Ovis aries: one gene and its partners. The protein of the gene in region 3 purifies or fractionates together with the protein of the main gene of each other region. This does not show direct contact. Links are inferred from orthologs where the notes say so. Each region holds a gene or a part of one and is shown on either strand. Other genes may lie near its edges. The genes, in order: HIPK2, RNPS1, DAXX, ADNP, HSPB1, MAP3K5 and BAZ1B.

What was found.
Region 1: the proteins of DAXX (region 3) and HIPK2 purify together in Homo sapiens (affinity purification with western blotting; 3 studies listed by BioGRID). This does not show direct contact. The link is inferred for Ovis aries from reciprocal best matches to the Homo sapiens genes DAXX and HIPK2.
Region 2: the proteins of DAXX (region 3) and RNPS1 purify together in Homo sapiens (co-immunoprecipitation; 3 studies listed by BioGRID and IntAct, with this or other methods). This does not show direct contact. The link is inferred for Ovis aries from reciprocal best matches to the Homo sapiens genes DAXX and RNPS1.
Region 4: the proteins of DAXX (region 3) and ADNP purify together in Homo sapiens (affinity purification with mass spectrometry; 4 studies listed by BioGRID and IntAct, with this or other methods). This does not show direct contact. The link is inferred for Ovis aries from reciprocal best matches to the Homo sapiens genes DAXX and ADNP.
Region 5: the proteins of DAXX (region 3) and HSPB1 purify together in Homo sapiens (affinity purification with western blotting; 3 studies listed by BioGRID and IntAct, with this or other methods). This does not show direct contact. The link is inferred for Ovis aries from reciprocal best matches to the Homo sapiens genes DAXX and HSPB1.
Region 6: the proteins of DAXX (region 3) and MAP3K5 purify together in Homo sapiens (affinity purification with western blotting; 7 studies listed by BioGRID and IntAct, with this or other methods). This does not show direct contact. The link is inferred for Ovis aries from reciprocal best matches to the Homo sapiens genes DAXX and MAP3K5.
Region 7: the proteins of DAXX (region 3) and BAZ1B purify together in Homo sapiens (co-immunoprecipitation; 3 studies listed by BioGRID and IntAct, with this or other methods). This does not show direct contact. The link is inferred for Ovis aries from reciprocal best matches to the Homo sapiens genes DAXX and BAZ1B.

The regions. Positions count from the first base shown.
Region 1 is NC_056057.1:104,612,432-104,615,931, reverse strand, and holds part of HIPK2 (homeodomain-interacting protein kinase 2), read left to right. Parts: intron 1-1,635; coding exon 1,636-2,719; intron 2,720-3,500.
Region 2 is NC_056077.1:2,304,638-2,308,835, reverse strand, and holds the start of RNPS1 (RNA-binding protein with serine-rich domain 1), read left to right. Parts: upstream 1-1,398; 5' UTR 1,399-1,456; coding exon of another isoform or gene 1,457-1,458; exon of another isoform or gene 1,459-1,851; intron 1,852-4,198. UniProt on the Homo sapiens protein: Part of pre- and post-splicing multiprotein mRNP complexes. Auxiliary component of the splicing-dependent multiprotein exon junction complex (EJC) deposited at splice junction on mRNAs.
Region 3 is NC_056073.1:7,643,072-7,647,141, reverse strand, and holds the start of DAXX (death domain-associated protein 6), read left to right. Parts: upstream 1-1,270; 5' UTR 1,271-1,513; intron 1,514-1,743; exon of another isoform or gene 1,744-2,058; intron 2,059-2,089; exon of another isoform or gene 2,090-2,215; intron 2,216-3,049; exon of another isoform or gene 3,050-3,052; 5' UTR 3,053-3,101; coding exon 3,102-3,308; intron 3,309-3,457; coding exon 3,458-4,070. UniProt on the Homo sapiens protein: Transcription corepressor known to repress transcriptional potential of several sumoylated transcription factors. Down-regulates basal and activated transcription.
Region 4 is NC_056066.1:78,821,179-78,824,678, reverse strand, and holds the end of ADNP (activity-dependent neuroprotector homeobox protein), read left to right. Parts: coding exon 1-2,198; 3' UTR 2,199-3,274; downstream 3,275-3,500.
Region 5 is NC_056077.1:34,787,788-34,791,193, forward strand, and holds HSPB1 (heat shock protein beta-1), read left to right. Parts: upstream 1-1,296; 5' UTR 1,297-1,346; coding exon 1,347-1,698; intron 1,699-2,429; coding exon 2,430-2,493; intron 2,494-2,591; coding exon 2,592-2,781; 3' UTR 2,782-2,906; downstream 2,907-3,406. UniProt on the Homo sapiens protein: Small heat shock protein which functions as a molecular chaperone probably maintaining denatured proteins in a folding-competent state. Plays a role in stress resistance and actin organization.
Region 6 is NC_056061.1:61,837,324-61,840,823, forward strand, and holds part of MAP3K5 (mitogen-activated protein kinase kinase kinase 5), read right to left. Parts: intron 2,976-3,500; coding exon 2,863-2,975; intron 1,858-2,862; coding exon 1,745-1,857; intron 215-1,744; coding exon 138-214; intron 1-137. UniProt on the Homo sapiens protein: Serine/threonine kinase which acts as an essential component of the MAP kinase signal transduction pathway. Plays an important role in the cascades of cellular responses evoked by changes in the environment.
Region 7 is NC_056077.1:34,135,574-34,139,593, reverse strand, and holds the start of BAZ1B (tyrosine-protein kinase BAZ1B), read right to left. Parts: upstream 2,801-4,020; 5' UTR 2,442-2,800; coding exon 2,335-2,441; intron 2,270-2,334; exon of another isoform or gene 1,668-2,269; intron 1-1,667. UniProt on the Homo sapiens protein: Atypical tyrosine-protein kinase that plays a central role in chromatin remodeling and acts as a transcription regulator. Involved in DNA damage response by phosphorylating 'Tyr-142' of histone H2AX (H2AXY142ph).

The DNA of each region.
Region 1 (3,500 bases), on a different chromosome or scaffold from region 3:
CAAAAGGAAATGAGAGAGGCTGAATCCTGAGAATTGGGGGAACTTTTAGTGTCAGAACAGGGAGACCCTTCTTCTCCTGAACCGGAGAGATGGAGGAGAGGATGGAGGATGGGGACAAATTCAGGGATGTTTTGAAATGACGAGACTAGAGGTGGAAAGCAAGGCTGCTGGCCTCTGGCTGCTGGACAGTGTGGAAAGTGGGTTGTTGCTGAGAGAAAAGGTAGATGAGGTCAAAGGGAAAATGTTAAATAACCACCCACAGGCAATGCTAGGGGGTCAGAAAGACACACACACTAGGATCATTAAACACCAATGGTGCTTGAGAGAAGCCCCACTCTCTGTGTGCTTTTATAGGAAATGTTTCTTAACTACACTTTAGAAGATGGGCAGTGTTTATTTCTGCTTTTACCTGCAAGGATTTACCCTTCCTCATCACCCCGTTACTTTTCCTTAATTCATTGTCTATGAATTTTTGTTTGTGTCCAGCATCACCATGGTTACAAATTGCACAGCTATTCCATAGTTGTGGTCTTCTAGATTACTGAGGTTTCTTAAATTGTGGGTGAGGTTTTGATATGAAATAATAGTACTTTCTAGATAAATTGATTGATACATGACTTTAGCAGGAAAAGTGAGTGAATAGAGCCCATGAATTATGCTACCCTTTACCCTAGCCAACTCCCCCCCCCCCAAAAAAAAAATGTTGATAAAATGATTTCAGACTATCTCAGTAAAAACGTCAGACCAACTGCTGGTCAGTTCAGCCCTACAGAATGGTTTAAGGTGAGTAAGAAACCAGGGGGTAATTATGGTTCTTCCGGAAGCTAGCAGATCATGGGTGGCCCTGTGATTGGACCTGTGTGGGAAGCTTTTTCCTCAAATGAGCAAGCCTGACACTTGCAGGGCCTGTGTATGGGCAGGGAGTACCCAACCACGTGAGACAGCTAAGTATACAGTAGGTAACCGGGCCACCTGAGGCAGCCTTCAGGTTTAACTGGGTTGCCACCCGATGAGAACTGAGGAAGAATTTGTTTCTATTGCAGACAATGCTTATTAGGAAAAAAACCCAACATAACAAGCTAAATTCTGGAATTCTAATTCCATCTCCGACACTTGGCCGTACTCCCACCCTTCGAGTCTTCTACCGGAACTCCCCGGGCCCACAGGCTTAGTGGCCAGATTGTGCTTCCGGGTGGAACAGAGTCGATTTTCCAACCTTTTTTTAAAATTTATTAATTTTTTAGCTGCGCTGGGTCTTCATCGCTGTATGCGGGCTTTCTGAAGTTGTGACAAGCGGGGGCTCCTCTCTAGTTGCGGTGTGCGGGCTTCTCGTTGCGGCGGCGTCTCTGGATGTGGAGCACGGGCTCTAGGACGTGCAAGCTTCTGTAGCTGTGACACGCGGGGTTAGTCGCTCTGCGGCATGTGGGATCTTCCCCAACCAGGGATCGATCAGGCGTCCCCCTGTCGTGCAAGGTAGATTCTTCACCCCCCAGACCACCAGGGAAGCCCCTTTGCCCTTGTTTTGAAGTGGAAAGACAGTATTCTCGAGGACCCACACCGCCGATCAGAACCCAAGGGGCCATGTCACGTTCATTCACGCAAGGGCGACTAACATCTCTCTCTCTCCTCCCGCAGGTATGGCCTCACATGTGCAAGTTTTCTCCCCTCACACCCTTCAATCAAGTGCCTTCTGTAGCGTGAAGAAACTGAAAGTAGAGCCGAGTTCCAACTGGGACATGACCGGGTACGGCTCCCACAGCAAAGTGTACGGCCCGAGCAAGAACGCACCACCGTCCCAGCCAGCCGCCGCGACCGTCAGCGCCTCCCTGCCCATCCCCAACCCCAGCCTCCCGTACGAGCAGACCATCATCTTCCCAGGAAGCACCGGGCACATCGTCGTGACCTCAGCCAGCAGCACTTCCGTCTCCGGGCCCGTCCTCGGCGGACCGCACAACCTCATGCGTCGCAGCACTGTGAGCCTTCTTGACACCTACCAAAAATGTGGACTCAAGCGGAAGAGTGAGGAGATCGAGAACACGAGCAGCGTGCAGATCATCGAAGAGCACCCGCCCATGATTCAGAACAATGCGAGCGGGGCCACCGTAGCCACTGCCACCACCTCGACTGCCACCTCCAAAAACAGCGGCTCCAACAGCGAGGGGGATTACCAGCTGGTCCAGCATGAGGTGCTGTGCTCCATGACCAACACGTACGAGGTCTTAGAGTTCCTGGGCCGAGGGACGTTCGGGCAAGTGGTCAAGTGCTGGAAACGGGGCACCAATGAGATTGTGGCCATCAAGATCCTGAAGAACCACCCGTCGTACGCCCGCCAAGGTCAGATCGAGGTGAGCATCCTGGCCCGCCTGAGCACGGAGAGCGCCGACGACTACAACTTCGTCCGTGCCTACGAGTGCTTCCAGCACAAGAACCACACGTGCTTGGTGTTCGAGATGCTGGAGCAGAACCTCTATGACTTTCTGAAGCAGAACAAGTTCAGCCCGTTGCCCCTCAAGTACATTCGCCCGGTCCTCCAGCAGGTCGCCACCGCCCTGATGAAACTGAAAAGTCTAGGTCTTATCCATGCCGACCTCAAACCGGAGAACATCATGTTGGTAGATCCATCCAGACAGCCATACAGGGTGAAGGTCATTGACTTCGGTTCTGCCAGTCACGTGTCCAAGGCTGTGTGCTCCACCTACCTACAGTCTAGATATTACAGGTAAGGCCGTGTGCCCTGAGATAAGAGATGCTGAATGTCCAGCAGCATTCACAGAGCGTGTGCCGTGTTGGTCTCTGCCAGGGAGATAAAATTGCTGCTCTCGGTGGTCATGATTTAGTCGGGAAATTAGGACATGTGCACTTGGAAACGATGATTAGAAGTCACGTGAAATCAGAGCCAAGTAAGATTCTTGGCGTAGATGTTCAGAGTTGGGAGGGATTCCTGGCAGGGTGGGGCTGGGGCTAAGAGCAAAGGCATGGCAGGGGAGTCAGGTCGTCATGGACGGACAGAATCCAGATGCAGGTAAAGGAGAGAGAGGGGCACACATGATGAAGTCGCTCCAGCAAAATGCCCAGAAAGACTCACAGCAGACTGGAGGACTGCCCACCTGGCCAGAACAGAGGATCCGTGGTGGGTGGAAGAGCTGACCACAAGGATAAGCTGGCACCGGGATGCTGGGGTCTTAGCGACCAGACTAAGGGGTTGCAGTTGCATCTGTAAACATGGAGTAAGCACCAATGCATTTGTGCAACAGAGGGTAGTGGGATGAAAGTGATGCTCTGAGAAGGTGGTCCGATGTCCCTGTAGGAGGAGGAGGCCAGGGGGTGGGTCTGTAGCCTGGGGACCAGGCCGCCTGCTCTGGTGATGGGAGAACTCCAGGTTTGGGGTCAGGAAGATGGATTGTAACACCGTTGGCTGGAAAATGTGAAACTTCCATTCCTTCACTCAACAAAGATTTATTTCACTTCTGTCATGAGCTAGGCGCAGCGCTGGGGATGGG
Region 2 (4,198 bases), on a different chromosome or scaffold from region 3:
CCAAGCTACACTGGTTCCTTCCCCCACGAGGGCCTTGAATCTGTTCCTTTCTCTTCCTTGTGGGACCTACCTGTTCACATGCCCATCAAGAGTGGGAGCGCACCTTCTCTCCCCCCATTGCTGCTGCTGCTAAGTCGCTTCAGTCATGTGCGATTCTGTGCAGCCCCATAGACGGCAGCCCACCAGGCTCCCCCGTCCCTGGGATTCTCCAGGCAAGAACACTGGAGTGGGTTGCCATTTCCTTCTCCAATGCATGAAAGAGAAAAGTGAAAGTGAAGTCGCTCAGTCGTGTCTGACTCTTAGCGACCCCATGGACTGCGGCCCACCAGGCTCCTCCGTCCATGGGATTTTCCAGGCAAGAGTACTGGAGTGGGGTGCCATTGCCTTCTCCGCTCCCCCTACTAACAGTCACGAAACGTTGACTGCCTGCCAGGCGCTGCTCGGAGAGGGGAGGGACACAGCGGTAAACACATCCGCAAGCCCTGGCCCCCTCAGCGCCGGGTTTTACTCCGACAGCCTCCTGCCTGGTCCTGGGCCTCTAACTCTCAGCTTCCTGCCTTTGCCAGAAGGCTCTGACAGTGCAGGATGAAGCCTTGGCGCCGTATGTTGCACAGGTTCTCTGTTCCTCCAAACGCTAGACTCCACCTTCCTAGCCCCGGTTTCTTCCAAGGAGCCTTCGCACCATTTGTTCCTTCTGCCGGACATGCCCTTCTACTGCAGGCCTCAGCGGCAGGGTCAGCGCCTCGGAGGCGCGTTCCCTTCTGCACACTGTCTTCCACCCTGCCTTCTGCAGCCCGCTCGTTCTGGCTGCACTACCCGCTGCCTTGTCCTCCTGGTACAATTCCGCCGGCACAGAATCTGCGCCTGCAGCATCACCCCTCACGCCATGAGCGGTAACTGCACGAACCCATCCCCGCAACTGCCCTGCTCGCGAAGCCACCACCGCCCTACGGGTGCCCACGGCAAGCCGCCAGAGCGTGCAGCACCTGTGCACCCTTTCTCCAACCCCGCCGCCGGGCCGCCCGGGACCCTCCACGTAGCAGCCGGGTCGGGAGCCCAGCGACCTGGGACGCCACCAGGCCCGCAGCCCGCCCGGTGCGCATGCGCACGGAGAGGGGCGGGCCCGCGGCCGCCTTAACCCTCTCCGCGCCAGCCAGCAAACTGCTCTCACGAAGTAGCCCTCGCAGCCCCAGAGAGCTGCCAGCTTGATGGCCCCACGAGGCGTGCAGCCCGCCCGGGGGAGCCCCGGTCGACCCTCCAGAGTAAGCGCCCCGACGCGTCTCTTCCTAAACAGGCCTTGGCCCTTTAACACTCTCGCTCGCGCCCATTGGCCGAGGGGCTCGACGTCATCGCTGCGCGCCGGACGACCGCTCCTTCCCGCTCCCTAATCCTGACGCCAGAGCCGCGCCGCCCTCTGAGGCTGAGAAGAGCGGGAGGAGGTCGCGGCGGCGGGAAGATGTAAGTACCGGGAATCCGACCCCATCCGAGCTTTGGGACCCGCCCGCCATGTTCGGCGGGGCGCATCGTGGAGCCGGCCTGCTCCTTGGCCACGTGGTGGTGACGGTGGGGCCTGTGGCGTCGCTCCGGGTTTGAGAAGAAAGAATGTGGCCCGGGGCGGGCTGAGTGGGAGGCGCCGAAGCTGCGGCCCGGAAGTGGTCGGGGCCGCGGCGGGCGGAAGGGCGCCCTCGTTTCCTCGGCTCTGCAGCGGGACCAGTGAGGCCCGCGGGATTCGGAGCGGCCGGGAACTCGGCCTCCGCCGTCCGGGCCCTCTCACCGGGCTGGAAACCCAGGCCCGCAACGCCGGGCCCTGCCCTGGAAGCGCCCGCGGCCCGGCTCCTGGACTGGGGAGTTGTGAGTGAACGCGGACGCGGGGTGCTGAGGTCGCGTGCGGGGCCGGGGCCGGGGCCGGTGGGTACGAGATGCGTTTTGGGAGCCCCTGGGTGACCGACTGACCCTCCCTTTGAAGCCATTAATTTCAAACATCGACTCCACGAACGTCTGCGGGGTTCCTGTGTGTCGTTCCCGGTGCTAGCCCTTGGGGATACGGCCCCTAATGTCTTGGAGCCCAGTTTGACGGTAACCCCAAAAGAGAGGATACGGAAAGGTTAAATCGACGGAGCAGAGGCGTGGCCTTTTCCAATCTCTCATGAATTGTGCCTGAAATGTACTTGTAAATGGAGAAGGTGCTCCGAAGATGTGAGCTGAAACGCCATGTACGCGAGATATGACTAATTGTTCTCTCCTATTTTTGGCTGTTGGACGCGCACCTTTCCAGAGGATGGGGGAGGTAACCACGGTCCTGTTACCTGCACTTGTGTAAACATAATCAACCTTTGCTTTCTAGCCCTCTGGCCACACCCAGAAAAGCCTTCCTTTACTCTGGTCTTAATTGAGTTTTAAGAATAAACGCTGGTGCTTGTTTTCACAAACTACAAAGAGCAGATCTTTAGGACTGGGGTGGGGCCCTGGAATATGTATTCTAGGTCAGCTGTGTAATAAGGTAGCCTCTGGCCACACGTGGCTACTGAGTACTTGAAATGTACCTAGTTCAAATTGATGTGTTTAACACGCTTAGCATGGGGAAGCATGGATATTTTATTAATGATTTTGTATGCTGATTGGTGAAAAGATGATGTGTGGGGTGTAGTGTGTCAGATAAATACATTACTCAAAGTTAACTTCATCTGTTAACTAATGCTTTTTTGGAACGTTGCTCCAAGAAAATTTTAGAGTACTCTTGTAGCTGGCTCTCTTTCTATTGGACAGTGCTACTCTTGGTGATCGTAATGGGGGCAGTCCAGGGACCCCTGCTGATCATTCAGAGGCTGTGTGACTTAAGAGCCAAGAGTTTGCCTCAGAAAAGCCTCCAAAGCCTTTCTCCTAATATTAGCTAACATCTGTTGAGCCTTAACTAGGTCCCCAAGACTCTTTTATCGGTTACTTTTGTTTATATTCTTGACAGCTATGAAGTGTAGGAACTGTCTGTCTCTCCTTAATGCTGATGAGAAATTGAGGCTCGGAATGATTAAGGGATTGATACAAAGACACAACAAAGCTTTGAATCAGACCCCAAGCAGGGGAACTTCAGACTCGTAAGCACTGAATTATACTCACTATTTGTCCAAGCAAGCCCGCTACAATGTTGCTTAGTGTTACAGGCACCTTACTGAGTGTCTGTGGTGCCTTTTTTCTTTTTTAATTTTGGCTTATTTTTGTGTGTATGCCCTCTCATTTTAAGACATAATGTCTAAAAAGACTTTATAGCCCTGGAAAAGAACAGTGCACTCTTATTTGTTTGTCCACAGCTGGGCACTCTTTCTTGAGTCAGAAATTTATCCAGCATTTTGGCAGCACTGCGCACATGGAAACAGGATTCCGATTGGTGAGCTGTGTCCAGGTTACTTACAGGAAGGTGAGATAGGAGTAGTTGAGGCTAACATCCCGAGATCTTTGCTTCTACAACTCAAGCAAATTGCGCAAAACCTCACTGGAAATACTTAAAGGCAACAGCCCCAGGAAACAGAGCACATAATGAATTAATAGTTTGTTCTTGAGTAGTGTTTACTGATGACCTTTTACTGAGTACATGCTGCAGCTCTGGAACTTAGCTAAACCCTTACATGTGAATGCATCCATTTCCAAAAATGGGAGCATACAGAAAAGCTGAAAAAATTTAGTGCACCAAATAGTCACAGAACCACCACCTAGATTCTACAGGTTACATTTCTGTTATGTTTTGTCTCACTTTACTACTTTTTAAATGTTCATGGGGGACGTTTCATTTGTTTGGTTATTAAATGTTTTGATACTGGTACCAGTCACTTGAAATGGTTTTTGCTTCCAGTCATAATATCTATCCAATGTATCCTGCAAAGATTCCAGCAGTGAAGCGAGGTCGAATCCTGTCACTTAGGGTTTGCTCTGCCTGCCAATGTGCTCCTGTAGTGTCTCTAAAGGACTGTAGAGGGCTTACCGCAAAACTGGTGAGAAACGGGCATTGTACTACCTGTCAAAGAACAGGACCCCACCACCCACACCATTGCTTAAGAAAAAGACAAGCTGAGCCGACAGTTCTTCACGTGTCTCCTGTGGGGGCAGGATCCCCTGAGGAAATGGACCCTGCCCAAGTGTTCCTGGCTTGGTAGATGCACACTGCTGACTGTGTTCCTTGTTGCCTGCTCCTATGCTCAGCTTTTGA
Region 3 (4,070 bases):
GCAATGGAAGCACAGAGTCTTAACCACTGGATGACCAGGGAAGTCCCCTATCACGCTTTCTTACACATACATATCATAATTGAGATGAAAAATATTATTCTTTCTTGTGACCATAAAACTCTAGGTTTTTAGAAATATTTCTTCTGGGTTATCATTACAATTATTATGAGAGCAGAAGTGATAAAATAGCATAAAGATTGTACACATTTTCATAACTTAAAAGTACATGTAAAATGAGATAGACGAGATGGTGTTTATGATGCCTTAAAAGAAATAGGCTACATGTCATTTTTTTAAATTAGAGGATAATTACATTGCAATATTGTTACATTTCTATTTAAGACAAGGTAAGGGAAATCCCTGATGGTCCATCAGTTAGGACTTGGTGCTTTCATTGCTTGCGCTGGGGGCCAGTTCCATCCCTGGTTGGGAAACTAAGATCCCTGCAAGATTCAGGGCGTGGCCCAAAACAAACAAAAAACAACCAAGGTAAAACAAGGTAAAGTTATCCCTAGATTTCATGGTTAAGAACTATACCTTTTTTCTTTTTTTCCTTTTTAAATAGAGAGGGAGAAAGTCTATTGTAAAAGAGAAAAGGAAGGAGAAGCTCTAGTGCAAGCATTTATTCAGGAAAACAAATTTTGGGAAAACTGAGACTCTGGAAATTAATCCTTTATATGTCCCAAATCCAAGTATCCTTAGGCGAGTCTCCGTGTTCCCCAATTTAAGACTACAGGCTTAGACGACTGGAGAGAAGTGGTGTAGGATTCTTTAATGGGAGTGAGGGTTTGAGGGTTTGGAACTCCTGAGGGCTTGGGGATGTAAGAGACTGTGGTCCTAGAAAGTGGCAAGATGCTCACCCTCTGTGGAATTCTCCAGGATGCGGGAAACTGAGAGATTGGAACCATGTTAACCTTTCCGGTTTCCTCAGAAGTTCACCTCTGGGCCCAGCTTTGCCTCTTCGAGCCCCTCCAGTTTCCGTAAAGTTGGTTTAGGGTGAGGGTGTGGGCGAGGCGGGCGCCAATGTTGGTTTCTTCTCTCTTCCTTCGTCAGCTCTCCCAGAGGAAGAGGAGGAGACGAGACTCAAGGTATTTTACGAGCCTCGAGCCTCGTTTCTTCTCACAGCTCTTACAGATTCTGCTCAGAGCCCCCTCCCCACATTGCCTGTCCTCAGGCCCTAGAGGTCCTGGACAAAGCACAGCCTCCTTGTCATCAGCGCCTGCGCCTCGGGAACCCCCTCCAGAAAACGGCGGAGAACCAACTAGGTCCCACCTACTTGGTTGGTCATTACTTCTGTGGTGGAGCTTGGAAAGCACGCCAACAATCGCAATAATAAGAACACATTTGTATAGCGTGTTGTGCTCGTTTGTATGCGTGTGTTACGACTTCATGATTGGGAGATGTAGGCACCTGGATGTAGAAGTAGCTTCTGGGCAGCTGCAAGGGAGCGCGCAGACCACAGAAAGAAATGACAGGTACAGTCGACTGAGCCGCGGAAACCGGGACCTGGCAGGTAGGAAAGTAGCGCCACAAGGCTTGTCAAAAGCCCAGCGGCTAGGAAAGGTTTCATTTCCCTTTTAAGACACTCCTGCCTTTCCGTGCCTCCCTGTTCAGCCTTGGAGGGCCCAATTCCTCACCCCGCGCTGTTCCGTTATTTCCTCCCCCGACCCGGCCCCCCGCCCCCCCACGTAGAAAGGTGGATCAGTCCTCCCCGCACGCGACTAGCGGTGGTTGGGCCGGGATGCGGGAAGTTTCTGATTGGCGGAGTCGCGGAAGCACCGGGTGAAAAGAGCTCCACTGACGGCGGGCCCCGCTCCCGGCGCAGCCAGAGCCGTACGCCAAGATGGCGGCCCCCAGGTATTCAGGACGCCCGGAGGCGACAAATCCGCCCCCTGCAGGTCAGGGTGAAAGGAGCCGCAGACGAGGTGGGCGGCAGGGGAGGCTCTAGGAGGGGCGGCCCTCCCTCCCTGCCTGCCTGCCTGCCTGCCGGCGGCACAGGATTCCGTGCGACAATATGGCCGCGCCCAGAGCGTGTGGGCGGAAGCTCCGCGGCTTCCGGTAAGAAGTGGGGCCTGCGGTGGGAGGGGGAAGGAAGACGGAGGGAACCATGCGAGGTTCTGAGATCCGCGGAGAGGGTCGCCTCGAGAGACCGTTTCTGAGGTGGGGGCCGGACGGTGTGGGGAGCGAAGGCGGGGGCAGGACTGTCGAGGGAGAGGTACTGGGGAGTCCCCGGCGCGGAGTCTGAGGGGCAGGCTGTGGGATCCTCCTTCCTATCCCTGAAGGGGAGTGGGGCGGCCAGGGGCTGAACTGGGGGAGGGGGACTTGGCGGGAAGCTCATTTAGGGGAAGGACTGGACTCAGGGCTGGGATCTGAGAGAAATCGGGAGAGCCCAGCGTGGAGCTCACGATTGGTTACAGGTCACTGAGAGAGAATGGGGGAAATTAGGGTGGGGTGAGAAGGAGGGGACTTGGGGTGAAATATCTTCAACCTAGCGCTTCGGTTTGAGGAGACCCATCAGAGGGTGGAATATAGAGATAATTTAAGTAGGAGAAAAGGGAATGGATTGTTGGGAGGGAACCTCCTTCTCAAGGGGTCTCCGAGTTGGGGTTATCTTTCAGAATGGGGTGAGAGTATAGATTTGATATGTGTGAGAGAGAGCGAACAGGGAAAACGGTGGTGCCAGCGGGGCTGTGGTGTCTGTTCGAGAGAATGTCAAGGAAATCTGTAGTGCAGCGAGAGAGGTCGTCCAGGGGTTGAGAGGAAGACTCAACTTGGCAACTCTGAGAAATAGTGGGGAAAACGAGACTGAAAGACCGGATACATGCGTGGGGGGTGGAGCTGGAGGTGGGACTTCAGGTTTTCAGAAGGTTTGGAACTCCCCTAGTAAAGGGCCGGAAAAACGTACAGTACTAATGCTTGCTGAAGCTAGGAAATGAGGACACTGTTGGGCATGGCTGGGTGCTTTTGAAACCCAAGACTGGAAAACGTGTGAGATGAAGGGATGGGGCGGTGCTGGAGGGGCTCTGTCTGAGGCCCCATCCCCTTCCAGCAGGAATTACGAAATCCCCAACACTTCCTCCCTCCGGGGGATTTGATCCCCTATGGCTACCGCTAACAGCATCATCGTGCTGGATGATGATGATGAAGATGAAGCAGCTGCTCAGCCAGGGCCCTCCCACCCACCCCCTAATCCGGCCTCACCCAGGGCAGAAGCCCCTGGCTCCTCTCAGCCCCATGGGGCTGGAGGAAGCAGTAGTTCGGGCGGCAAGAAATGCTACAAGTTGGAGAATGAGAAGCTGTTTGAAGAGGTGAGCTTTAGGGGAGAAGACTGTCGTGCCCCAGGGAGGGGGATGGCTGCTTGGCTCTGTCCTTTCTCCCCCACTAACCCCACCTCACCTTTCTCTCAACCCTATCCTTTTGTCTTTTTCTCCTCCCTTTTCCCCCGTGAACCTTCCAGTTCCTTGCACTGTGTAAGACGCAGACGGCGGACCACCCTGAGGTGGTCCCGTTCCTCTATAACCGGCAGCAGCGGGCCCACCCTCTGTTTTTGGCCTCGGCGGAGTTCTGCAACATCCTGTCTCGGGTCCTCTCTCGGGCCCAGAACCGGCCAGCTAAGCTCTATGTCTACATTAACGAGCTCTGCACGGTTCTCAAGGCCCACTCAGCCAAGAAGAAGCTGAACCTGGCCCCTGCTGCCACCACCTCTAGTGAACCCTCTGGGAATAACCCTCCCACAGACCCCTCCTCGGACCCAAATGCTGAGACCACTGGCTCTGAGGCCCCAAGGACCCGTGGTTCCCGGCGGCAGATCCAGCGCTTGGAGCAGCTGCTGGCACTGTATGTGGCAGAGATCCGGCGGCTGCAAGAAAAGGAGTTGGATCTCTCAGAATTGGATGACCCAGACTCCACTTACCTGCAGGAAGCAAGGTTGAAGCGTAAGCTGATCCGTCTCTTTGGGCGGCTGTGTGAGCTGAAAGACTGCTCTTCACTGACAGGCCGGGTCATAGAGCAGCGCATCCCCTACCGTGGTACCCGTTACCCAGAGGTCAACAGGCGCATTGAGCGGCTCA
Region 4 (3,500 bases), on a different chromosome or scaffold from region 3:
CAAGTGGAAATGGAAGATCTTACGGTCTTGGGTCAGAGCAGAGGACCCAGGCACCAGCAAGATACTCACTGCAGTCTCCGAATGCCCCGCCTCTCTCTTCAGGCCAGTTAAAGTCTCCATCCCTCTCCCAGTCACAGGCATCCAGAGTATTAGGTCAGTCCAGCTCCAAGCCAACTGCAGCTGCCACTGGCCCTCCACCACCCAATACTTCCTCAACCCAGAAGTGGAAAATATGTACAATCTGTAATGAGCTTTTTCCTGAAAATGTATATAGCGTGCACTTCGAAAAAGAACATAAAGCTGAGAAAGTCCCAGCAGTAGCCAACTACATTATGAAAATACACAATTTCACTAGCAAATGCCTTTACTGTAATCGCTATTTGCCCACAGACACTCTGCTCAACCATATGCTAATTCATGGTCTGTCGTGTCCCTATTGCCGGTCAACCTTCAATGACGTGGAAAAGATGGCGGCTCACATGCGGATGGTACACGTGGACGAAGAGATGGGACCTAAAACAGATTCCACTCTGAGTTTTGATTTGACATTGCAGCAGGGTAGTCACACTAACATCCATCTCCTTGTAACCACGTATAACCTGAGGGATGCTCCTGCCGAGTCTGTTGCTTACCATGCCCAAAATAACCCACCCATCCCTCCAAAGCCACAGCCAAAAGTGCAGGAAAAGGCAGATATTCCTGTTAAAAGCTCACCTCAGGCTGCAGTGCCCTATAAGAAAGATGTTGGGAAAACCCTTTGCCCTCTTTGCTTTTCAATCCTGAAAGGACCCATATCCGACGCACTTGCACATCACTTACGAGAGAGGCACCAGGTGATTCAGACAGTCCATCCGGTGGAGAAGAAACTCACCTACAAGTGCATCCACTGCCTCGGCGTGTACACCAGCAACATGACCGCCTCGACCATCACCCTGCACCTGGTCCACTGCAGGGGCGTGGGCAAGGCCCAGAACGGCCAGGACAAGACAAATGCACCTTCGCGGCTGAACCAGTCCCCCGGCCTGGCACCTGTGAAGCGCACTTACGAGCAAATGGAGTTCCCCTTGCTGAAGAAGCGAAAGTTAGATGAAGATAGCGATTCACCCGGCTTCTTTGAAGAGAAGCCTGAGGAGCCTGTTGTTTTAGCTTTAGACCCTAAGGGTCATGAAGATGATTCCTATGAAGCCAGGAAAAGCTTCCTAACAAAATATTTCAACAAACAACCTTATCCCACCAGGAGAGAAATTGAGAAGCTGGCGGCAAGCTTATGGTTGTGGAAGAGTGACATTGCTTCCCATTTTAGTAACAAGAGGAAGAAGTGTGTCAGAGACTGTGAAAAGTACAAGCCTGGTGTGTTACTGGGCTTCAACATGAAAGAGTTAAACAAAGTTAAGCATGAGATGGATTTTGATGCTGAGTGGCTATTTGAAAATCATGATGAGAAGGATTCCAGAGTCAATGCTAGTAAAACAGCAGACAAAAAGCTCAATCTTGGGAAGGAAGATGACAGTTCCTCAGACAGTTTTGAAAATTTGGAGGAAGAATCCAATGGGAGTGATAGCCCTTTTGACCCTGTTTTTGAAGTTGAGCCTAAAATCCCTAATGATAACCCAGAGGAACACATACCGAAGGTAATTTCTGAAGATGCTTTAGAAACTGAGAAGCTAGACCAAAAAGAGGAGGATGGTTCAAAATATGAAACTATTCATTTGACTGAGGAGCCAACCAAACTAATGCATGATGCCTCTGATAGTGAGGTTGACCAAGATGATGTTGTTGAGTGGAAAGATGGTGCTTCTCCATCTGAGAGTGGCCCCGGTTCCCAACAGGTGTCAGACTTTGAGGACAACACGTGTGAGATGAAAACAGGAACCTGGTCCGATGAGTCTTCCCAGAGTGAAGACGCGAGGAGCAGTAAGCCAGCTGCCAAAAAAAAGGCTTCCGTGCAAGGTGACAGAGAGCAGTTGAAGTGGAAGAATAGTTCCTATGGAAAAGTTGAAGGGTTTTGGTCCAAGGACCAGTCACAGTGGAAGAATGCAACTGAAAATGATGAGCGCTTATCCAACCCACAGATTGAGTGGCAGAACAGCACAATTGACAGTGAGGATGGGGAGCAGTTTGACAACATGACTGATGGGGTGGCTGACCCGATGCACGGCAGCTTGACGGGGGTTAAACTGAGCAGCCAGCAGGCTTAAGGGCCGGCTTCTGTGGCATTGGTGGCAAATGCTGCAGCCTGGAACTCTGTTCTGTCAGTTATGACTGCAAAGCTGTGTTCTAACTGGTACTGCCTTCTGAGTGCGGGGTCATCAGGCGGTGGGGACATGTGGCCACTCCAATCCCAGTGGCTATTTCTAAGTCTGTGACACATGATTGGCTGATCTTGCTTTAGAACGCTCTGTGACAGACACAGTAACTAAATGTGAAAAACCAATAAGCTGGTGGCTCATGAACGCACACGAGAAAAAGCAGAGGTTTGTCTTACCTGCCTTCTCAATATTTCTTTCCCTCTGTAAAACAGTGTCTGGTTGGACGTCCTTGAGAAGCGTTCTCCTGATTAAAATGGTAGTGTAGGGCCAACACACAAGCTGCCAGTCCAGTGTGTACAGTGGACTTTGGGGAAATCAATTTTTTTCATGTATTCATTCTGAATAGTTGAAATGTATATTTGTACAGTCTTTTAGACCTATTCAAGTGATGCTTACGATATTGTTATTGTGTAGCCATCATAGATGCGTTTCTTTTTTTAGTGTTGCCCTTGCTGTGTAATAAGCGCTGTATCTAGTTGACCTAGCAAAAGCCTGAAACTGCGCTAGTGTGGACTTCGGGACAGACTTAGTTTTTGCACATAACCTTGTACAATCTCGCGACAGAGGCCAGCCACATAAGATATATATCTGGACTCTTCTTGTATTATAGAATTTTTCTTGTTCTGAATATCCTTGACATTACCGCTGACAGAAACAAAAACTGGTATTTCAGATGTTTTCTGAAATCTTTTAAGCTAAAAATCACATGAAGAATTGACTTTGCAGCTACTAACTTTGACACCTTTTAGATCTGTATGGAAGTGTGTTGTGTTGAAGCAGCAGGCCAATGAGTGCTGCGTTTTGGATATTTAGTTTTATCTTTAGTTAAACACCACCCTGGTGTATTCATTTATACCATCTAATATATGACACACTGTTGTAGTATGTATAATTTTGTGATCTTTATTTCCCTTTGTATTCATTTTAAGCATCTAAATAAATTGCTGTATTGTGCTTAATGTAAATACTTACTTGCTTTATTACGCCTTCCAGTCCTGTGTGTCCATTACATCTTGTACCAGTTGATGCCGTGGCTTCCTCAGCAGAGATGGCGGCACGGCCACTGAGGAGACTTGTGGAAGACCAAGGATGGCATCAAGAAGGCTTTCTCTCAAGGCTCTTGTTACAAATTCTTTGATTCGGTTTGGCCTTTGTCTGTTACCTTTTTAATCACTAAAATAAACATCCTTG
Region 5 (3,406 bases), on a different chromosome or scaffold from region 3:
TTTCCTCATTGAAAAAGGAGGGATACAGGACACATGTCAGGAGAAGGAAGGCAGGAGAGAGAGATTGTTAGGATTATGGCAGGAAGCTAGGGGCAGCATCTTTTCCCAGAGCGGGTAGTGGGGGCGTGGATCTCACAGGCGGTCAGATCGGAGGAGGGGCCGGCCTCAGGCTCCAAGCAAGTTTGAAGGAATTGCCCCCTCTCCGTCTGCGGGAATATTCAACAGAACAGGATCGAGGTAATAACCTGCCAACAGGGAAAGGAGCATTGGCCCAAATCACACAAACAGCAAAGCCCTGACTAGATTCAAGGTTGCTGCATTTCAAGTTCCCCTGTCTAGGGCTCCTCCAGAAAACTAGATATAATGGGGAGACTTGACCATAACCTTCTTCCTGACCCCTTCTCAGTACTGGCCCTCAAGGTTTGTGATCTGAGTCTACTCCACTGGGGTTCAGTGGGCAAATGGCCAAACCTACACATACCATTGCCTCTGCAACAGGGACACATACATGCTTTCCTTCTTGCCCCCTCCTTCAACTTCAGGGGCTAATAATAATTATAGATAATATATTATCTATATATATTATCTATATATAAATATAGATAATATATTCATTATCGTGTACCCTGGACTAAAATGTTTACTTGCATTGAGGCTGAATCTTCAAACCAACCTAGCGATGAAAGCATTATCATCACCACCATCATCCCATTTTCCCGATGGGGAAACTGAGGCAAAAGACTCTGAACTTGCACAAGTTCATCCAGTGAGTGGCAGAACCTGCATGTGAACTCAGGCGGTCTACCTCCCGAGACCGCCCTAACCACGCTGCTTCTTAAGGCATTATATCACAGACACACTGCCTTCCAAATCCTGGCTCGCTCTGCCAGTTCCTAGTTGTGCGCCCTGGGACTCACTGCTCGACCTCTCTCTCTCCCCTTGGGACTCACTGCTCGACCTCTTTCTCTCTTTCTCTCTCTCCCTCTCGGCTTTGTCCTCCCCGACTGTCCACAGATAGAGGCCCAGCGCTTTAGCACCCAGGCCTCCGAGCGTCCAGCAGTGGGCAGTGCTCCGACATCGAGGCTCTAGTCATTTGTTTTCTCGAACAAGAGAAGGTTCCAGATGTGGGCAGGGCCTTCCTCGCCCCGCCCCGCGCCCCGGTATGCAGTGGAGGGGAATGCAGGGGGAGGGGCTGCCCCCTGGCCCGTCATTGCCATTAATAGAGACCTGAAACACCGCCTGCTAAAAATACCCGGCTGGAGACCCATAAAAGCGCTACGGGGTCCGGCGCCCGCCACTTCTCCCGCTTCTCCGAGCCTACTCCGGACGCACCCAGACTAGCCAGCATGGCCGAGCGCCGAGTGCCCTTCTCGCTCCTAAGGGGCCCCAGCTGGGACCCTTTCCGCGACTGGTATCCGGCCCACAGCCGCCTCTTCGACCAGGCCTTCGGGCTGCCCCGGCTGCCCGAGGAGTGGTCGCAGTGGCTGAGCCACAGCGGATGGCCGGGCTACGTGCGCCCGCTGCCCGCCGCAGCGATCGAGGGTCCCGCCTACAGCCGCGCGCTCAGCCGACAGCTCAGCAGCGGGGTCTCCGAGATCCAGCAGACCGCCGACCGCTGGCGCGTGTCCCTGGACGTCAACCACTTCGCCCCCGAGGAGCTGACGGTCAAGACCAAGGACGGCGTGGTGGAGATCACTGGTAAGCACCCCCTGGCCCCCGCCCCAGGGACGCCGGCCCCTCGCCTCTCGCGGGTCCCGGGGAAGAGCTCTGGGTTGAAACATGGGCGGGGAGCCGGGAGAGGGGGCCGCTGGAAAGTGAAAACTTAGCCGAGGACGGGCGGTGGGGGGGAAGGCGGGGAGCCCCCAGAGCGGGGCCCGGCCTCTTCGCCCTAGCCCTGGTCTGTATTCTCTGGAGTTGGGGTTTGCTGGAGTTCCTAAGGGATCTTTTAGCCCTAAAAAGTCTCCACTAAGGAAAGCAACGCCCCCTTCCAGCGGAGACTCCCCTCAACCCCAGCCCTCGGACCTGAGGACCTGGCCCCCAAGGGACCAGGCCCCCCCGCCACGCCCCACCCACCCGGGCCCGCAGTCGGTATGAAGAGGGCGTCGCCCTCGCCGCCCTGCCCCCCATGCCCCCCACGTCACGGTCCCTGCTCCCAGCCCGGGTCCGCGGAGGGGGCGTGTGCGCCTGCCCCGAGCCGCGCTTCCACCCCCACCCCCCACTCGCCAAGCCCCTGAACCCGAACTTTCCAAAAGCTTCTGAGTTCCCCAAAGCTTCTGAGTTCCCGGGACAGTCTCGGGCACCCAGATCCCTCCGTCAGTCTTGCCAGCCCGGAGTCCTGGCCCGCAGGTGGGGCGCGCTGGGCTGCGAGCCAGCGGCTAGGCCGCCCCTCCCCGCCTCCTCTGACCTACTTCCCCTCCCCCTCCTCCCAGGCAAACACGAGGAAAGGCAGGACGAGCACGGCTACATTTCCCGTTGCTTCACTCGCAAATACACGTGAGTCCTGGCTCCGGATCTGGGGGGCGGCGGGCGGGAGAGGGGCGCGCGGGGACGCCCTGGTGTGTAACTCTTGTCCACCCTCTTTGCCCGTCCAGGCTGCCCCCCGGTGTGGATCCCACCCTGGTCTCCTCCTCTCTGTCCCCTGAGGGCACACTCACCGTGGAGGCCCCGTTGCCCAAGTCAGCTACCCAGTCTGCCGAGATCACCATTCCCGTCACCTTCCAGGCGCGTGCCCAGCTTGGCGGCCCCGAAGCCGGAAAGTCCGAACAGCCGGCAAACAAGTAAAGGCCCTTTGCCCAGCGGCCCACCCCACAAGTAGCCATCACTGACCATCCTCACCCGCCAAACCTCTATGTTCTTTTGATACGTTTGCCTTCTGTTTTTCTCAAATAAAGTTTGAAGCCACTGCCCGCCACTGCCTCAGACCCTGCTGGTTTTGTGAAGGAAGAAGGGTTGGTGCTGGTTTGATGTTTGCTGAGGGCCCGCTGGGCACCAAGCCCCAGGCTGGGTCCTGTGGGTGCAGTATCATCTGTCACTGGGCACAGCCCTGCCCTCCTGTACCCCTTGTTCATTAAGAGAGAAGCAGTGATTGTTCACCGGAGTTAAAACGCCCAGGGCTGGAGGGGGAGCAGGGGAAATTATGAGAGGCACTTGACCCAGGCTTGGGCACTCAGGAACCACCTGGGCAAGGGGGCAGGTGAGGGAAGACAGGGCAGGGCTGGGGGAGAGGGCTTCCTGGGAGCTCAGATTCCTGACTTCATCGTAGAGGGTTTGGACCAGGTAGATTGGAGGGGAGGTGTGGCCACCCCTGGCGGCTTTCTGAGGGGCGATTCCCCCAGCCCAGCCCATGTAGGCAGCACGGGACCTGGGTCCTCAGGTCTGAGAGTGCCCCGCAGAGAGTGATGAGCAG
Region 6 (3,500 bases), on a different chromosome or scaffold from region 3:
GAACTCAAGCACTCTACTCAAGACTGCAGAGCTAGTTAGAGCTAGTTAGCAATCATCTGGGAAGGGACCCAGGCTTCTTGATCTCAGCCCAGTGCTCTTTCCATCATGATGAGACTGAACAGAAAGAAAAGTGGTACCTTAGTCTCAGGCATTTTAAATCATCACGTGTAACATAGTAGAGAACATCCATTAATGAATAATCCTCAGCCAAAAACTGTGGAGAAAGTAAAATACACACAAAAGTAAGATGTCTTTTGCACTTCCATAAGTAGCAAACTATCCATAATGTAAACATTGCAATAATGAAAAATAAATCTAAAAGGAAATTCACTAAAGACAGAATCTTTTGGAATTATTAGAAAAAGGTTCCCCCTATTACAAAATAATTACAAAGAATTACATCCACACGACTTCTAGGAGCAGAAAGATGACAAGTGACACAGTACTTCTGAATGGTCTTCTGATGAGCAGGTAAGACTTGCTTGTAATTATATCTGCTGCTTATAAGATAATGTTTGTATTTAAAAGGTTTAGTGCTTTGTAGCTTAATTTTTTCCCAGTGGGTAAAATGTGTTGTTTACACTTCATTTTGGAAAACTTTCCGATACTTAGTACAAATTCAGAGTCCTGAATTTAAATGAAGCTTTTTATTTTAAATCTTTCAAAAAGGTCAGTGATTTAGTGTGTCATCAATGACTACTCCTTAATTTTTATTTGAGTCTAAGTTAGAGGGGAAAATATTTTGGAAAATTTGATTGGATAAATTTTTCCCAAAGATGAGAAACTCCTTTTAATTTCTGTAATTTGCTTGCAGATTTCTAAGGAGACTCTTAAATTTTATTAAGCAATCTAAGAAATTATCAAGCCAAAAGAAATTCATCTGTTTTCTTAGTCATTTAAAAAATTTAAATATAAAACTGAAATCAACATAATATTAAAATAAATAATATTAAATACATAAATAGTATTAAAATAAATATTTCCTATTTATATAAACTATTTATTATTTCTATAAAATAATAGAAATATAACCTCTTACTGCACATATATGTGATCTTACAACATAAAGAAATCTATTCATGCTAACTACAAAAGTTCCCTATATAATATAATTTGTATTGAAAGTGTTTGTTTCTGATATAAGTTCAGTAACTAGTCTATTTCATTAAGTAACAATAAATAGCTGCTGCCCAGTGGAATTTAAGAATGTCACATAAGAATTTAAGAGTTAAAAAACAAGAGAAAGAATGAGAAGTGGAAGAACTTTTTCCTTTTAGTTCTTGTCTTGATTTTTCCTCTTCTTTATTTTCAATGAAACAGCACAAAAATCCTTACGGGTTCTGGACCACAGAGCTTTTTTCTGCCTCACTGTTTCTGTCCTCCACCCCAAATGGTTTTCCCTTTTTGTCTTTCCCCCATCCCAGAACAGACATACAGTTTATTCCTAAGCATTCCTTTAGACTCCAGCTTGCCAATCATCTTTTCAAAGAACCTTCCCCAACTTCTCCCTCCCTCTGTCTCCTAATACCTGATAACCTTTCCTTTACAGACTTGACGAGGACCCAATTATATTTGTACATGTGGAATTCTTTGATTATCGTCTGCCTACCCTAGTCTATGAGCCTCAGGAAGGCAGGGCTGGGTCAGTTTCTCAGCAGTGTATCCCCCGTGCCTGGCACATAGTAGGCACTCAGCATTAGGAAACTAGTGAAAAAATGTTTGTCTCATGGAATGTTTTCTTTACCCGACTTATAGTGTCTTCATCGGCTCCGTTTTCTCTCAGCCAGTCAGTAAGTTCAGAATCTTCAGTGTTTGTGCCAGGAGAACTGGAGTGACACGCAGGCAACCCAGGAATATCTAGGACAGCATTGGGGTTGGGGGATAAGGAGGGACATTCTTAGCTTCAGAGGTCATCTGATAGTCAACATTTACTGATACTTTAACAGACTTTTCTCCATCACAGGATAATTAATAGAAACCACTGAGATCGGCAGTCTACAAGATAATATAAATCAAACTCTTTGAGGCTGCTTAATATGCTAGTAAATGGAGGGTCACTAACAATAATTAATGATACTTCCACCTTGTGGTTTCGTATCAATTTTATAGCCTCAGAATAAAATGGTGCATCAAAATTATACTGTGTATTTTTCAGACAACAAAGATGAGCATAATTAGCAGAGAACCATATAATTATAATAATCTCTTTTTCCACTAGTTGCAATAATGTGGAAGGACCTTATATCTGAACAAAAAATAATGACTTTTATTTTCCTCTAAATGGGCTAAATAAGATTGCCTAAAGATTATCTTCCATCCCCAATTTCTCACAGAATAGATTTCTTTAAAGTTCCAATCTATGACTTAAAAAAAAAAAACAGATATAATTGACAAAACATTTTATTAAAGTATATTCAACTTATGACTTGCTATTTATCTTTATTCTACTTAAGCCTTGTCAAATTATAAAACACTAGAATACACAGAATACAAATGCAAAATGACCAAAATAGTATTATATTATTCTAGTAATTTCACTGTGAAATCCTTAAAAAGAAATAAAGACAAAAAAATGGAGATCCCTATTTACCTCAATAGTATATAATCTCAGGAAAAGATAATTACGAATCATTTTTACTGTACATATAAGAAATAATGGTTTGCTACAATTAAGAATTGGATATTTTTGTACAGCAATTTCTGCTCGTAGTTGTGGTACAAGTGACAGATGCTGAATAAGCCATGACATAAAGTTTGCCTGTTGGCTTTCTAGTTTTCTGTGGGAGTTTGGCTGAACACTATTACTTTAAAATTTTCTGGCTTTAAAAAATAAGTAAATAAATAAAATTTTCTGCTATTCACCTATTGGTTGGGACTTAAGCTTCAGGTGTTTAATTTCTTGGTCTTTCTCTTCAATAGCTTGATGAAGGAGTGCTTGTAATTCTTTCTCTTTCTGAACCAATTCTTCCAGTAATCTGCAGGAGGAAATTATATTGGTTGACAGGATAATGAAGTGGGAGCAGCCACAAAATGACCCTCTAGACAAAGGTTCTCAAGCTATAATGAACACAGACATCCTGGGGTTTTATTGAAATGCAGATTCTGATCCAGCAGATGGCTGGGGAGCAGGGTTAGTTAGGGAGCTCTGAGTTTCTGCATATGTAATAAGCTCCCAAATCCACAGACATCCAAGTTGAGGAGCAAAGCTCTAGAAAGTGGGCTTCCAGACAAGAATTTAAAACTTGCACCCGTAACTGGCTGATTCAGAGATGTTGTTCTGTTTCCTTCTATGACCATAATGGCAAACACATTCACATATGGTGTTCACCTGCATAGCCCCTCATCAAAAAAGTTGGTCAACACCGGTAATACAATAGGCAATGAGTGCAAAGAAGAAAGGTACTCACTTCCCTTTAAACTATGAAAATTTGAGAAGTAACTCTTCCCTGGTGGTTCAGACAGTAAAGAATCTGCCTGCAGTGCAGGAGACCTGGGTTTGA
Region 7 (4,020 bases), on a different chromosome or scaffold from region 3:
GTTCTCCTCTATGAAATTACTAATAGCCTAATAAAAAAATATGCCAACCTGCCAACCACACAGTACAATAGTTTAAAAACCATCCTCAAAGTGATTCCACTTGTAGAAATTCCCAAGGGAGCAATTTCTCTCCCAGCAGGTTAACACAATTTAAGAACTCCTTTGTTAAGAGTTCTAAAAACTGGTAGGGGAGATTTTAAAGATGAAGAATTTTTATTAAATACACAACACTTTAAAAGTTACACGCATTAGTGTTCAACTGTCATCATTAAAAGAAATGCTTCATATATACCATTATATTTCAACAATTTCAGTAAATGATACGAAAAAACCCAGGCTGCCAGTTCTAAGTTAGCTATCTACAGCCATTTTTTAAAAAACAGAGCTCAGTTCCTGTTAGAGACTCAGAATGTGTCTCCTCCCTATTGCAGTTTCTTATACTTCACTAGGACCAGACGTGAAAATCAACATCCAGTAATATTCGTGTGATAACCGTCAACTGCTCAAAAGCCATGTGAAAAGGATACAGTATATTTCCACAAGTAATTTTTTACTTCACTGATGTTTTGGAATGTTATTTTAAAAAAAAATACGGCACTTTTAGAATAATGCTGTGTTTGGGAGAGCTGGAGCGCTTCTCCAGAACGATCCTCCCAAAGCCCTAATAGGACAAGAACCAGATTACCACTTCAACCTCTCCCTTAAACACACCCTAACTTATACCACAGGCTTCCCAGGTGGCTCGGTGGTAAAGAGCACAATCACCAATGCAGAAGACACCAAGAGATGGGAGTTCGAACCCTGGGTGGGAAATGGCAACCCACTCCAATATTCTGGCTCGGGAAATCCCAGGGACAGAGGAGCCAGGCAGGCTATAGTCCATGGAGTCGCAAAGAGCCGGAGCGCACACACGTAAACATCTTGCGCTACCAGCTGGAACAAACAGTGGATTCACATCATTAAAAGCGAAGGAACTGCATTCCATGTTCCTTTTGTGATCTACTTTCAGGCATGAGGTACCAAGAGCACTGGATTCTCCTGACTCTTCCATTTACAAGCCTGTGATCTCAACTGTCTGGGCCTACCAGGCATACCCAGGCAGGGGAACCCCACCATCTCCAGGATCTAGTTCCGCTCTGAGATACTCTGGCTGCATTTCTTCCAGAGTCTTCCTACAGCATGGACTCATTTTCCAAGGCCCTTCCTGCGTGAACACCTAATATCCTCAAACTGCACTGAAACAACCCCATAAAGCACTACATTAAAGGGAGGATCAATGAGAAATATAATCAAATGATATGGCTCACACTCGCACTTCCTTCTACATGGGAGCAAACAGACACTGCTGAGAAATCAAGTCCTTTCAAAGGGAAAGCGGTGATAAAGCTAACACAGTAGCCTTCACTCTTGAAGCTTTCTCTACACTAAAAAATGCTACATTCGAAAACCTTTTTTACGGTTAAGATTCAAAAAAGATGCATCTGGCATCCATAAAAAAAGTAAGAGTGGTACAAGTTTAGCTAAGAGAGTTGACAATAAGCTTGACAGCAAGAAACCTTAAGCAATGATTAGGATGCCTCTCATTTAAAACATCAGCCTCGTGTACCTACAATACAACATTAAAACTGTAAGCGTGTCTTTGAAAAACGCTGTTTAAAGATAAATACCGATATTCTACACCGTCAGAATTCCAAATCTGTGCAAGTCCAGGGATAGAAGGCATCGGCTCCTCCAAGGTAACTTTTTTACTGTCTTTCCTCTGAGTCTGGAAATTCATTCTTGATTTTGATCCCGTCAGTTCATCAGCCTCCAGTGCGCTCGGAAGGAGCAAAACACAAATGCTCCCGCAGAGATCGGGATGGGGGAAGGGGGGTGGGGGAGAACGCAATCGCGCCTTGTACAACCCGGATCACGAGGCCGCGCAAGTACGATTTCCAAAACTTAAGTGGAAGGTTTAATTTTAAAAGAAAAAAGCAGCAGCAAAGGAAACCCCATTCATCCCCGGTACTTAGGGCCTAACGCCAACCCCCGCTGGGAGTGGGATGGAGGGTCGCTCCTCCATAACGAGGCCCGGGGACAAAGTGCGGAGCCAGGGGAAGGATGGAGGGCTCAAGGCTCGGAGGCGGCCTGAGCCCGGCCGGCTGGCCGGCCCGCCCGCGCACCCCCTACCCCCCACCCCCCACTCCCGGATCTGCGGGCCCGGGGCTCGGGCTCCGGGTGCAGGCCCGCCGGCGCCGGGCTGGCTGACAGCTGCCACCGGCGCGGGGCTGCATGGCCCACCTCGCCCCACCCCACCCCGCGGGCGGCCTGGCCGGCGCTGCTGGAAAAGGATACTCCCGGGTGCGGAAGGCCTCCTGAGTGTGCGCGATCGTGAAGAGCGGCTCTTCGCCGGGAAGCGGCTTCACCAGGGGGAAGGGCTTGCGGCCCAGGAGCGGCGCCATCGCGGCGGCGGCAGCGGGGAAGGCGGAGGCTCCTCGGTGGACCCGCGGCGCAACACTAGGCCCCGCGGCCCGGAGCGAGCGCCTGGCTCCCGGGGGTGGGGTGGGGGAGGGGAGGGGTGAGAGGGCGGCGCGAACTCGGCTCCCTCACTGCTGGCGCCGCCGCGCTAGAGCCATGGAACGGGACCCACGGGCACAGAACTCTCTCACACACTTCCGCGCCGTCCCGAAGCCTCCAGCCAACCTTCGCTACGGGTCCCCACGTTCGGCAGTCACGACTCCTCCTCAGCTGCACCGGAGGAAATTATTGAAAAATGGCGGGAGATTCCCCTCCACCCCCCCGCCCGGCCAGCGCGCACACTAACTTGCTCCCCTGTGGCGCCGGTGGCGAATTCTCCAATAGGCGGAGAACTGGTCAGCACCCAGAACCTATTGGCTCAGAGGAGCTGCCGCTCTGCGGTTGGGTCCCGCCCCCTTCCCGGACCGCCTAGTTGGGTTGCAGCTCACTAGAGGGCAGTATGAAGAGGTGAAAGGTCACGTTATGTAAGCGCCAGTGACAGACGCGCGGGCCTCCGGCGGCGGAGTTGAAAGTGGGGAAAAATGGGGGACGGAAAGGCCGGGAATTCAGAGAGGTCAGGCCAGAAAAGCCCTCTAACATGTACTGATCTGCGCCATCTGTCACTGAAGGCGACACCGACATCCGGGCACCACTGTCCGTGTGGAGCGCCGGAGGGGGGAGGGGGAGCGCGCGGCCAGGGGCTTTGTCTTTCCACTAGGGCTCCGCCTCCTTCTTAAAGGCACCGCGCTCGGCCACGCCCGGAGATGCGCGGGTGGGGCTCACGGAAGGAGGGGTTGGCGGGAAGTAACCCGGAGACTTCATCGGCATAGGTTCTGTTGAGGTAACTTGAGGTTCAGGTTGGGTCCCCCTAAAGTTAACTTCTAGACTAGAGTGGGGTAATAGTATAATGCTTGCTTCTAGGAGTTTGCTGGAAAGGGTAATATAGAAGCTTCGTTGGAAAAATAGATTAAAGGGCATGTCTATTAAAGATAAATTCATTCACTCATATAGTCTCTTTTAGCACCTAAAATGTTCAGGGCCCTACGTGGGGTGCAACAGGGGAAGAAAATAAGACAGAGACTACTGCTTTGAAAAAAATAAGAGATAATCACTGTTCTATGTGATGAACGCTATACATAGGGTGCTGTAGAAAAACAACCGTGCCTGGAGAGTGAGAATGTTTGAGCTACTTCCCTAAGTAGACTGCAGTCACTCAAAATCTGTTTGCCCATCCAGTACAGTCAGAAACACACTTATTAACCATTCATCCCTATTAAATTGTTTTTTGTTTATTGTTCAATCGCTAAGTTTTATCAGACTCTGTGACCCCCTGGACTGCAGCACACCAGGCTCCCCTGTCCTTCACTATCTTCCGGAGTTTGCTCAGATTCATGTCTATTGAATCGGTGCTGCTACCTAATCATCTCATCCTCTGTCACCCCCTTCTCCTCCTGCCCTTAATCTTTCCCAGCATTAGGGTCTTTTCCAATGAATTAGCTCTTCCCATCAGAGGGCCAAAGTATT